2 linked regions of the Neurospora crassa OR74A genome follow. The protein of the gene in region 1 purifies or fractionates together with the protein of each later gene. This does not show direct contact. Links are inferred from orthologs where the notes say so. Each region holds a gene or a part of one and is shown in the gene's direction. Other genes may lie near its edges.

Region 1 (4,853 bases):
AGTTCCATGTCGGGTCTCTCGACCGTGACCGCAGAAGGGCCGCCCCACTTAGGTGATATCCCCGGGCTCCGCCTGCCCTGTGCGTGCCCACTCTCCTCGTGTCCCGTTAGGTTGTCCGGCCAGTGGGTCAGCAGGCTCAACTGCCCCTGAAACAATCCAAGACACAGCCTCGGCTGGGCCCGACCCTCCGCTGATGACGGGAGATTGCCAGGGGCATGCCACCTAGAGGTAGAACCAAACCGGACGTGGGGTCGGGTCTCTCGCTTCAAGTCCAATCGGCGCTTCCAATTCCGCCAACTCAAAGGGTTCGTTTCTCGAACCACAATTCAGGGGATCATCATCGGTCCATTCTTCCTCTTGATGCGAAGTCTCCTTTGCCCTACTCTTTTCTACTTCACAACGATATTTACTACCCGCTTGCCACAAATATGACCTCGAGGTAGTTGCGCGCGCAGTCTCATTGAACGCCCACGATACCATCACCTAATCTCTACAACAACGTGCGCTCTGATCCTCACGACCACACGCGAAACAGGCAGGATCCTGAATTCACCGGCGACAAGAACCAAACACGTTCGGTCAGAAAAACAAAGTCGAACCAAGTCAACTGGGCGCGAGAAAGACCTCCACAGGGACTACCCTAATCGAATCGATTTACCATCATCATGGCGCGAAGGCCGCACATTACGCTGATGCTCGTCGTCGGCGTCATTCTCTTTGTGTTTACGACCTACATGCTCTCCTCGAGTGGCTCCTCGGGGGTGGTACAGCATTCAGAGACTCTCGATTTAGGCGGAAGTAGCGGCAGCGGAGATCACAAGAGTGCTAGTGGCGATGGCGGCAGCAAGTCCGCGTTTGGCATATCGGATAACATCCTCAAGGGCGGCTCTATCGCGCCCAAGCTGGAGAATGCGACGGCCAAGTATGTCTATCATGTGCATTACATCGCACCCTACATCACGCTATGCCCGTCTGGCCAGGCATCATTTCGCTAACCACAGTAACCACAACAGAGCAGAACTAGGCCGCGCTTCCTGGCGTCTCTTCCACACCATGATGGCGCGCTTCCCCGAGACCCCGACCGCCGAAGAATCGTTGGCTTTGAAAACCTACATCCAGCTGTTCGCGCGCCTCTACCCCTGTGGCGACTGCGCATCGCACTTCCAGAAGCTGCTAAAGAAGTACCCACCGCAAACGAGCGGGCGCAACGCGGCGGCCGGATGGGCCTGCTTTGTCCATAATGAGGTCAACAAGCGCCTCAAGAAAGAGCAATTTGACTGTAACAAGATTGGGGATTTCTATGATTGTGGCTGTGGGGATGAAGGTGCCAAAAAGGCGGGGGAAGCTGGCGCTGGGGCAGAGGTCAAAACAGAGACAAAGAAGGGAGAAGATCTCAAGATGGATTGAGGGTTGAATAGGAGGAAAAGTTGATTCTGCACTTGTAGGGAGGTGACAATCACGCATGGATATCAAGTGACCGTGAGCGGCGTATGCCGGAACGCCCATTGATTAGAGACGGAAATGTCTTGGATATTGCAGTCGTAACACCGATATCGACTGGTGTCCTGTCGTAATTCGGACGAACTCGACCCGAGGGGCGTTCAGATTCCAAGGCGCTGTGGAAATGAGGTTGTCAAAGACATGGATTTGCCTGCTTCTATACCGCCGCCAGCTCCAGGGCCCTTTGCGAAACGAAACCGTTGAGATATTGAGCATTGGTATTTTGAATTAAGTTGATAATTACCTCTGTGCCGTGGTTGCAAAAGGTCAACGAAAGACAATGGCCAGGCAATTCCCTTGGTTGTCTCATTGGTTATGCTGCCGTATACCTTATACATGAACCCCGATTAGAGAATATCGCTCCACTGCAGAGAGCCCGACGATGACGCTATCAGATGGAGTCGAATCGCGTGAAAGAGACTGATAAGATAAGAACAATCGATACGACCGGGCCTCGAGGGGACGGGAGCTTATGGCGGCTATCGCACGTGATCCACTTAAGTGAAAGCCAAGCCAAGCCCGCCGTCTGCAACACGCGTGTTTGGAGCTGCCTTGAGCTGAGGGGGGCCTGAGCTTCCACTCAACTGGCCGTCCCGCCCTGTGATGGGCCCGCCTTCGCCGCCTTCGAGGTTCACCCAGCGTTCGTTGGAGCTTCCTTTCAGTAGTACAACGAACAACAACACGACTTGAAACGATTCCACAACTCCACGCCTTTGTCCTCTCGATTTACACTGCGACGAGCGTCCGAACGACTGTTCACGAGACTGTCCAACATCTTGATTGCGCATTACGTTAGAACGACAACCACTCGATAGCCCCGTCATCATGGAATTTGGAACGTCGGGCGTGCTCAGCGAAGGTGAGCTCCAACTTCCATTCGGCGTCGCATTCCATATCAAGTCATCACCATCACGGCGTCACCACTGCCTACAAGTCACCAACCTACCAACTCTCTTCGAGTCCGGCAACTCCCTGCCGCCAACACCGTTCCCCCTCCGAGGTCGATCGCAGACAACACATGTTAACCGCTACTGTCTCCTACAGATGGCATCCATGTCGATATGGACAGGTTGAAGAAGGGTGAGGTCAAGTAAGTACACCACACTGCGCGCCCATGGTTCTAGTTCCAATCCCACCTATCATATAGTCGCAAGCGATGCGCATGAACAAATGAAGCAGTCAGCTAACTTTCTTGTCTGCTAATAGTTTGGGTACCTCGATGTAAGCTTCCCCCGACCTTCTATCCCTCCCTTACGACATCGAGCCTCTCGACGATGCGACAGGATCCCGGGTATCCACACGCGAAGCAGCAGCGATGTCTAACGAGCTTGATATAAATACAGTATGGCGGTCACATTCAAGGACGGTGTTATTCTCGGTTAGTGTCTTCCAGCCAACAACACTACATACCCTTGGATTCCGGAGACAGAATCATCGATCTCAGGCTGACACCTTGAACAGGAGCCGACTCCCGCACAACCACAGGCGCCTACATTGCCAACCGCGTAACCGACAAGCTGACCCAAGTACACGACACCATCTGGTGCTGCCGCTCCGGATCCGCCGCCGATACACAAGCCGTCGCCGACATTGTGCAATACCAGCTGGGATTGTACCACATGGTCAACGGCAGGCCTCCGACGACACAGATTGCGGCTGCTGTCTTCCAGGAGATTGCTTATGCCAACAAGGATAGGTTGACGTATGTTTTTGGTGGCCCCCTTCCCTTCATCTCACTTTGCTGCGTTTTTCTCTCTTTCTCTTGCGCCCTCTTCCTCTTCTCTTATCATGCACAGGTCGGGTTCCGTGCTGACTATTGGATTTCAACAGTGCCGGCCTCATTATTGCCGGCTGGGATGCCCGCCACGGTGGTCAAGTGTACAACATTCCGCTCGGCGGCTCCCTGCACAAGCAGCCGTATTCGATTGGCGGTTCCGGTTCCACATACATTTATGGGTACTGCGACGCCAACTGGAAGGAAGGAATGGAGGAAGCCGAAGCCGTAGCGTTTGTCAAGGAGGCACTCAAGGAGGCGATCAAGTGGGATGGCTCCTCGGGAGGTGTCATCAGGATGGTGGTGTTGACGGAGAAGGGCGCCGACAGGCATTTGTATCTGCCGGATTCGGATTACAAGGTGAGGCACCAGTGATGGGATCTCGAAGAATGGGCTGGTTGGGCTCGTGGAGGTGATGGTCATCTATCCGTAGCCCGAATGGGCGGCTGAAATGTAGCAGGAGACGAGCCAAGGGTCCAGCCTCAGCCTTCACCCAAGAAAGTACACCAGAGAAGGTGTGTTAATACGAAATGATACATGAGAAGACAAGTCGTTAGACCATGGTCTCGATGGCAGGAAGTTCAACTGTTTCCTGCAGGCTTAACTGATACAGCTGGAAGTGGTCCCTCATATCCTTGAACATGAGGATAAGTTTGCCTTCATTCATATTCGTAAGCGGGACCTCTCGTATTTGGCTAAGGTGCTGTAATTATTAGGTAGCATAAACCTATCATAGCTACGCTACTATACCCCACTATAGATGAGGCGTGGCGAACCCGACGGGAGGTTGGCGATGGGTAGGTGTCTATGGTTTGGCGTCATAGTTGTTGTTACACAAGGTAAAGCCAATAACGTCAAGATGCCATTCTTTGACGCAAAAGCTACCACCGTTATGGGTTCATCACATCTTCTACTTCTTGAAAGCCAAATAGATCAAGTGGATATGTAGCCTCGCTAAGCGCCAGCGGAGTGAAAGTGAGGAGTTTTGCTAGGATCCATTGCCACATCACTCGCCAACGATACCAAGTTTGTTGCACTTCAGCGAAGTCGGCGGCGAGTTTGTTGCGTCAAACGCGGTTACACGAAGAAACCCACTTCATACGTCAATGTTCCCATTGATACGTAACGACTTTGATACGTGAAATACGTAAATTACCAAAGATGCCTTCACATATAGTAGTATCGGTCGCAGGCATTGTCGTCCTCTGGCTGCTGTACGAGGACTTGATACCCCCTTGCTGTCTTACCTCTACCATTCTAGACCGGCTTTAATAACTGAAGCTTCGAACTTTAATGAACTCAGGTCTAAGGTGTTTTGTGGTCGAGGCTTCCGTTCTTACAGGTACCCATTATTTGTAAACGCCAGCTTATCGTAAAATTACACGCTCAACTCTTCGATCTCACGTCTCTTTTCATCTTAAAGGAGCCATTTATACAGCTCCTACCCACTAAGACGCCCTTCAAGCCATCCACGGCGCTGGACGTGGCAGGCAAGCATACCCTACCTACCTCTACCTTGAACAGGCGGATATATTGTTTGCTGGCAGCCTGGTCTCCCGTCCCAGGGTTGGGCTGCATC
Region 2 (4,652 bases), on another chromosome or scaffold:
TGTCCTTGACGGCGAGGATGCCGAGGCGCTGCAGGAAGTGCAGGGACAGGTCGTTGACGGCGTCGCGGAGGATGGATTTCTGGATGAAGAGGACGTTGCACTTGGCTTTCTTGATCTTCTTGACCATGTTGAGGAGGTAGGTGCGCTCTTCCTTGACGATCTTGTCCATCTGGCGGTAGTCGTTTACGGAGATGGTGTTTTCCATCTGTAAGAGTGAGTTGTTAGTAAAAGCACGAAAAGGGTAGTGTTTGGGCGATTTAGGGCCAGCAGGCAAGGTGGGTAGGTTATGGTCGCCAGAAAGGTATACGCACATCAGGCTTGGGAGGGCTGAGCTGGAACTGAATAAGACCGATCCTGGCCTTCTCCATCCTGACGGGACCACCAGCGCTCTTGATGACGGGCTGTGTAAGGACGAGACCATCAACCAGCTCGCTGTCCTCGATCGTACCGCCGACCTTCTTGATTATGCGGATGTTCTTGAGGTCGACATTCTCGGCGGTCTTGAGATCTATCGTCTTGGTGACTGCGTTGACGGCCATGGGGCCGAGGAGGTTGGAGTATTGTGACACGATCTTGGAGGAGAGCGAAGTGTTGGCGGCCTGGAGGAGCGAGGCGGTATCTGTGAGGGAGATGGGTTGCGACATGTCGTGGAGGACGTCTACGGCAGCGGCGGCGGCTCTTTGGAAAGCTTCGGAGATGACTGAGGGGTGGATGCCCTTGCCTAGTAGCCTGTCGGCGGCACCGAGCAAGCTACCGCAAAGGACGACGACCGAGGTTGTGCCATCACCGGCCTCGACATCTTGGGCGTGCGACAGCTGGACGAGCATCTTGGCTGTGGGGTGCATGACCGACATGCTCTTCAACATTGTGCTGCCGTCGTTGGTGATGATGGTCTCCCCCTTTCCAGTCATGATCATCTTGTCCATACCCCGCGGTCCCAGCGACGTTCTGACGGCATCGGCGACGGCTGGTGCATGTCTCTGTGTCAGCACCCCAGACAACAACGACACAAGACGGAATGACAAAATGTTGTAGGCATACCTCTGGCGGCGACAATGTTGGATGAGCGAACGGCGATGGGCTTCTCCTTGTCCTGTTTACATGGTGGGCTATCAGCAACTGGCTTGCCACAGAGCTTCACCCCTCCTCCTGGAGCTTTCGCACCGACTCCTATCGAGGGGTCAGGTTCCAAAAAGCGGGACGCACCCTGAAAGTCGCATTGCTCGCCGTCTGGGTAGCTGCCGGTGCGGTCGCCATGGTGCAAGCTTGTTTGATCTGGTATTTGGGATTATGGGAGATAGTAGACGGGAGGTCGGATGGGGGGATCAGAAACTGCCGGAAATTCGAGTTGACAGTTTTGGGGAATCGGCTTGCGCTGGGTGCAGTGCAGTTGTTGTGTTGTAAGGCAGAGCTCTCCTCTTCTCCTTCTTTGCTGGTCTGGAATCAATGGGCCAAAAACACACACACACACCGTCCCCTCCGTACCAATGTTTCCACTGCGGGACCGTAAAGTGAGTGCTGGCGCGGGCGCAAAGGTGGGCTGGCAGGTGGTAATTTTTTGTCGGCTGCTTTTTGCTGAGCGGTGGGCGGTGGAAAAGGTACCTGCGGCGCTGTAACTTTACACAGTCTAACCGGATAGGGTTAGGTAGGTGCTGTCAAGGTGGCACCCACCCGTAGCTCCCTCGCCCGCAAGGCAGCGCATGGATTACGGCAACGATTGAGCTTCGACCCTCTGTCAGTGAGTGGTGGCAGTTGGACCTTGACGAACCATCTCCATCCATCCATCCATCACATCAAGCAAGCACTGAACACCCATCAAACCAACTTGAACCCGACACACCACATCAAACCCGCGCCGAGATCTCTACAACCCCACGAACGACCCACGCCAAACAAGGAATCTCTCGCCCGGAGCCATCGCGACTTTAATTACCGACCCGATCCTTTCGATTACCCACCCTTCTTCGCCTTACCTAGTCCAAACGGGAAGCGTCATTCCCACCCGCCGTCATCATGGTATGCTTGCAGTCGCCCTACCCAAAGGTGCAACGCCACTTTGCACGACTGACACCGGGAATAGCCTTCTGCCACAGGTCAAAACTGGGAGAAGTACAGGAAAACGTTTGGCGACGATGAAGTCGAGGAGAAGAAGATCACTCCCCTCTCAGACGAGTATGTTGCCGCCCAAGAGAGCCCGCCCACCACTACCACCGCAACGGACAAGTCGTCTAACCCCCGTCAAGGGATATTCAGGTCCTCAAGACATACGGCGCCGCGCCCTACGGTGCTGCCATCAAGAAGCTAGAACAGCAAATAAAGGAGAAGCAGCAGAGCGTGGATGAGAAGATTGGCGTCAAGGTATGCTAGTCTTGCGGTGGCTACCCTACAAACCGCGAAGCGCATCTAGCTGACCAGTGATACTTTTTGGTCTACAGGAATCAGATACCGGCCTTGCGCCCCCTCACCTTTGGGATGTGGCAGCCGACCGTCAGCGTATGTCAGAAGAGCAACCGCTTCAGGTAGCGCGGTGCACCAAGATCATCCCTGACGAGAAGGACGAATCGAAGAGCAAGTACGTCATCAACGTCAAGCAGATCGCCAAGTTTGTTGTCCAGCTGGGCGAGCGAGTCAGCCCGACAGATATCGAGGAAGGAATGCGCGTCGGCGTCGACAGAAACAAGTATCAGATTCTCCTTCCGCTACCTCCCAAGATCGATGCGAGCGTTACCATGATGACGGTCGAGGAAAAGCCTGACGTCACATACGGCGATGTCGGTGGTTGCAAGGAACAGGTCGAGAAGCTACGCGAGGTCGTGGAGATGCCCCTCTTGTCGCCAGAGCGGTTCGTCAACCTCGGTATCGATCCCCCCAAGGGCGCCCTGCTATACGGACCTCCCGGCACCGGTAAGACGCTTTGCGCCCGTGCCGTTGCCAACAGGACAGACGCCACCTTTATCCGTGTCATTGGTTCCGAGCTGGTTCAAAAGTACGTCGGTGAGGGTGCCCGCATGGTCCGCGAGCTTTTCGAGATGGCCCGTACTAAGAAGGCTTGCATCATCTTCTTTGACGAAATTGATGCTATTGGTGGAGCCCGGTTCGATGACGGCGCGGGTGGTGATAATGAAGTTCAGCGTACTATGTTGGAGCTCATTACGCAGCTGGATGGTTTCGATGCCCGTGGCAACATTAAGGTTATGTTCGCTACTAACCGTCCTTCCACGCTGGATCCCGCCCTGATGCGTCCCGGACGTATCGACCGCAAAATTGAGTTCTCTCTCCCCGATCTCGAGGGTCGTGCCAACATTCTGCGCATTCATGCCAAGAGCATGTCAGTCGAGCGCGATATCCGATGGGAGCTCATTTCTCGCCTGTGCCCGAACGCGACGGGTGCTGAGTTGCGTAGTGTTTGCACGGAGGCGGGCATGTTCGCCATCCGTGCGCGCAGGAAGGTGGCGTCGGAGAAGGACTTTTTGAGTGCGGTGGACAAGGTCATCAAGGGCAACCTCAAGTTCAACTCTACTGCGGCCTATGCCCAGTACAACTAAACGGGGAGGAAGAAGCGCATCAATAGCGGAATGGGGAGTTTGGGGTTTTTGGTTTGTGTTGAAACCGGAAGTCTAGATGTGTAATAGATGATGAATCAAGAGCGGCTCGAGATGGCACTCATAGCTGGGACTTGGGAGAGTTTGGACCGCCAGATCCCACACAGTAGGCACAATGCAGTAGGCTCTCCTGACAAGCGAAATGAACATACGGGCGGAATGAATAGGTATCATGCCTACTGTTGTTGATGATGAACATGGATTTGAAGCGATTGCATACCTATGTGACAAAATGTGACAGCAAAACTCCATGGCAGACATGGTGAGAATTGTGACGATGAGGTGTTACGACTCCGCCGCCGTGGATATCCAGACTTCCAAAATGGGGAGACGGAGCTGCTCCCGGGATACCCTTGGCAGTGACACCATCCAAGCGAAGCGATAAGGCAAAAAGGCGGGTTACGTTGAACGATAAGGAAGCTGTAGCTCAATCGTGTCGGGTGCCGCCGTCGAGATACCGGAGCACGGAGAGGTCTTGGGGGCAAGTCATGGATGCAAAGGGGGGAAGGAAACAAATGGAAATCAAGCGAAGGGGGAAAAGTTGCAAAAAAATTAGAAACCGTGGTCGCGCTGGGGGTCGAACCCAGGACCTATGCATAACTTCCAATGGCTTGGAGGTATCTAATTGCGTGTGTTAGTATGGGACAAACACTTTGGAGAAGGTATCTTCGGGGTCAAGACTCACAAGAGCATCGCGGTAACCACTCCGCTACGTGACCATTTCTGGTTTGTTGGTTGCCTGCTTGTACCCCATGGTCAGCTTATAATAGCAGGTGAGGGGTTTGCAGATGGCTTGAACATCGATAACCCTAACCCCCTTGAATCTCAGAGCTTCTTAGAGCTGATCTTAGCTGACAATGCGATGACGCATCACCTGATGATTTGCCCTCCGGCGTCCGCGACCCGCGTTCATCGGCCTCTCACCTCAGTCTTTCCGGTGGTTTTGGATCCTTGCAAGCAATATCACGACCCAAACAAACAGGCTTGGAGGTCTGCCACTGCCACAGCTTCAGCATCTCTCCTGTTCCGGGAGTATCTACCTACATACAC

What was found. Proteins that work in one complex are often made in the same cells at the same time.
Region 2: the proteins of pcb-1 (region 1) and rpt-1 purify together in Saccharomyces cerevisiae (affinity purification with mass spectrometry; 3 studies listed by BioGRID, with this or other methods). This does not show direct contact. The link is inferred for Neurospora crassa OR74A from reciprocal best matches to the Saccharomyces cerevisiae genes PRE3 and RPT1.

Annotation. Positions count from the first base shown.
Region 1 is NC_026507.1:58,523-63,375, forward strand, and holds pcb-1 (proteasome component PRE3), read left to right. Parts: upstream 1-1,836; 5' UTR 1,837-2,325; coding exon 2,326-2,359; intron 2,360-2,544; coding exon 2,545-2,590; intron 2,591-2,706; coding exon 2,707-2,721; intron 2,722-2,843; coding exon 2,844-2,878; intron 2,879-2,961; coding exon 2,962-3,202; intron 3,203-3,330; coding exon 3,331-3,649; 3' UTR 3,650-4,060; downstream 4,061-4,853. Other genes in the region: NCU09291 (FAD dependent sulfhydryl oxidase Erv2), read left to right, coding at 666-922, 1,014-1,407; NCU09289 (hypothetical protein), read right to left, coding at 4,442-4,531, 4,784-4,853. UniProt on the Saccharomyces cerevisiae protein: The proteasome degrades poly-ubiquitinated proteins in the cytoplasm and in the nucleus. It is essential for the regulated turnover of proteins and for the removal of misfolded proteins.
Region 2 is NC_026501.1:8,943,953-8,948,604, reverse strand, and holds rpt-1 (26S protease regulatory subunit 7), read left to right. Parts: upstream 1-1,446; 5' UTR 1,447-2,013; coding exon 2,014-2,016; intron 2,017-2,080; coding exon 2,081-2,172; intron 2,173-2,243; coding exon 2,244-2,358; intron 2,359-2,435; coding exon 2,436-3,545; 3' UTR 3,546-3,803; downstream 3,804-4,652. Other genes in the region: NCU02839 (T-complex protein 1), read right to left, coding at 1-205, 312-967, 1,042-1,093, 1,207-1,257. UniProt on the Saccharomyces cerevisiae protein: The 26S proteasome is involved in the ATP-dependent degradation of ubiquitinated proteins. The regulatory (or ATPase) complex confers ATP dependency and substrate specificity to the 26S complex.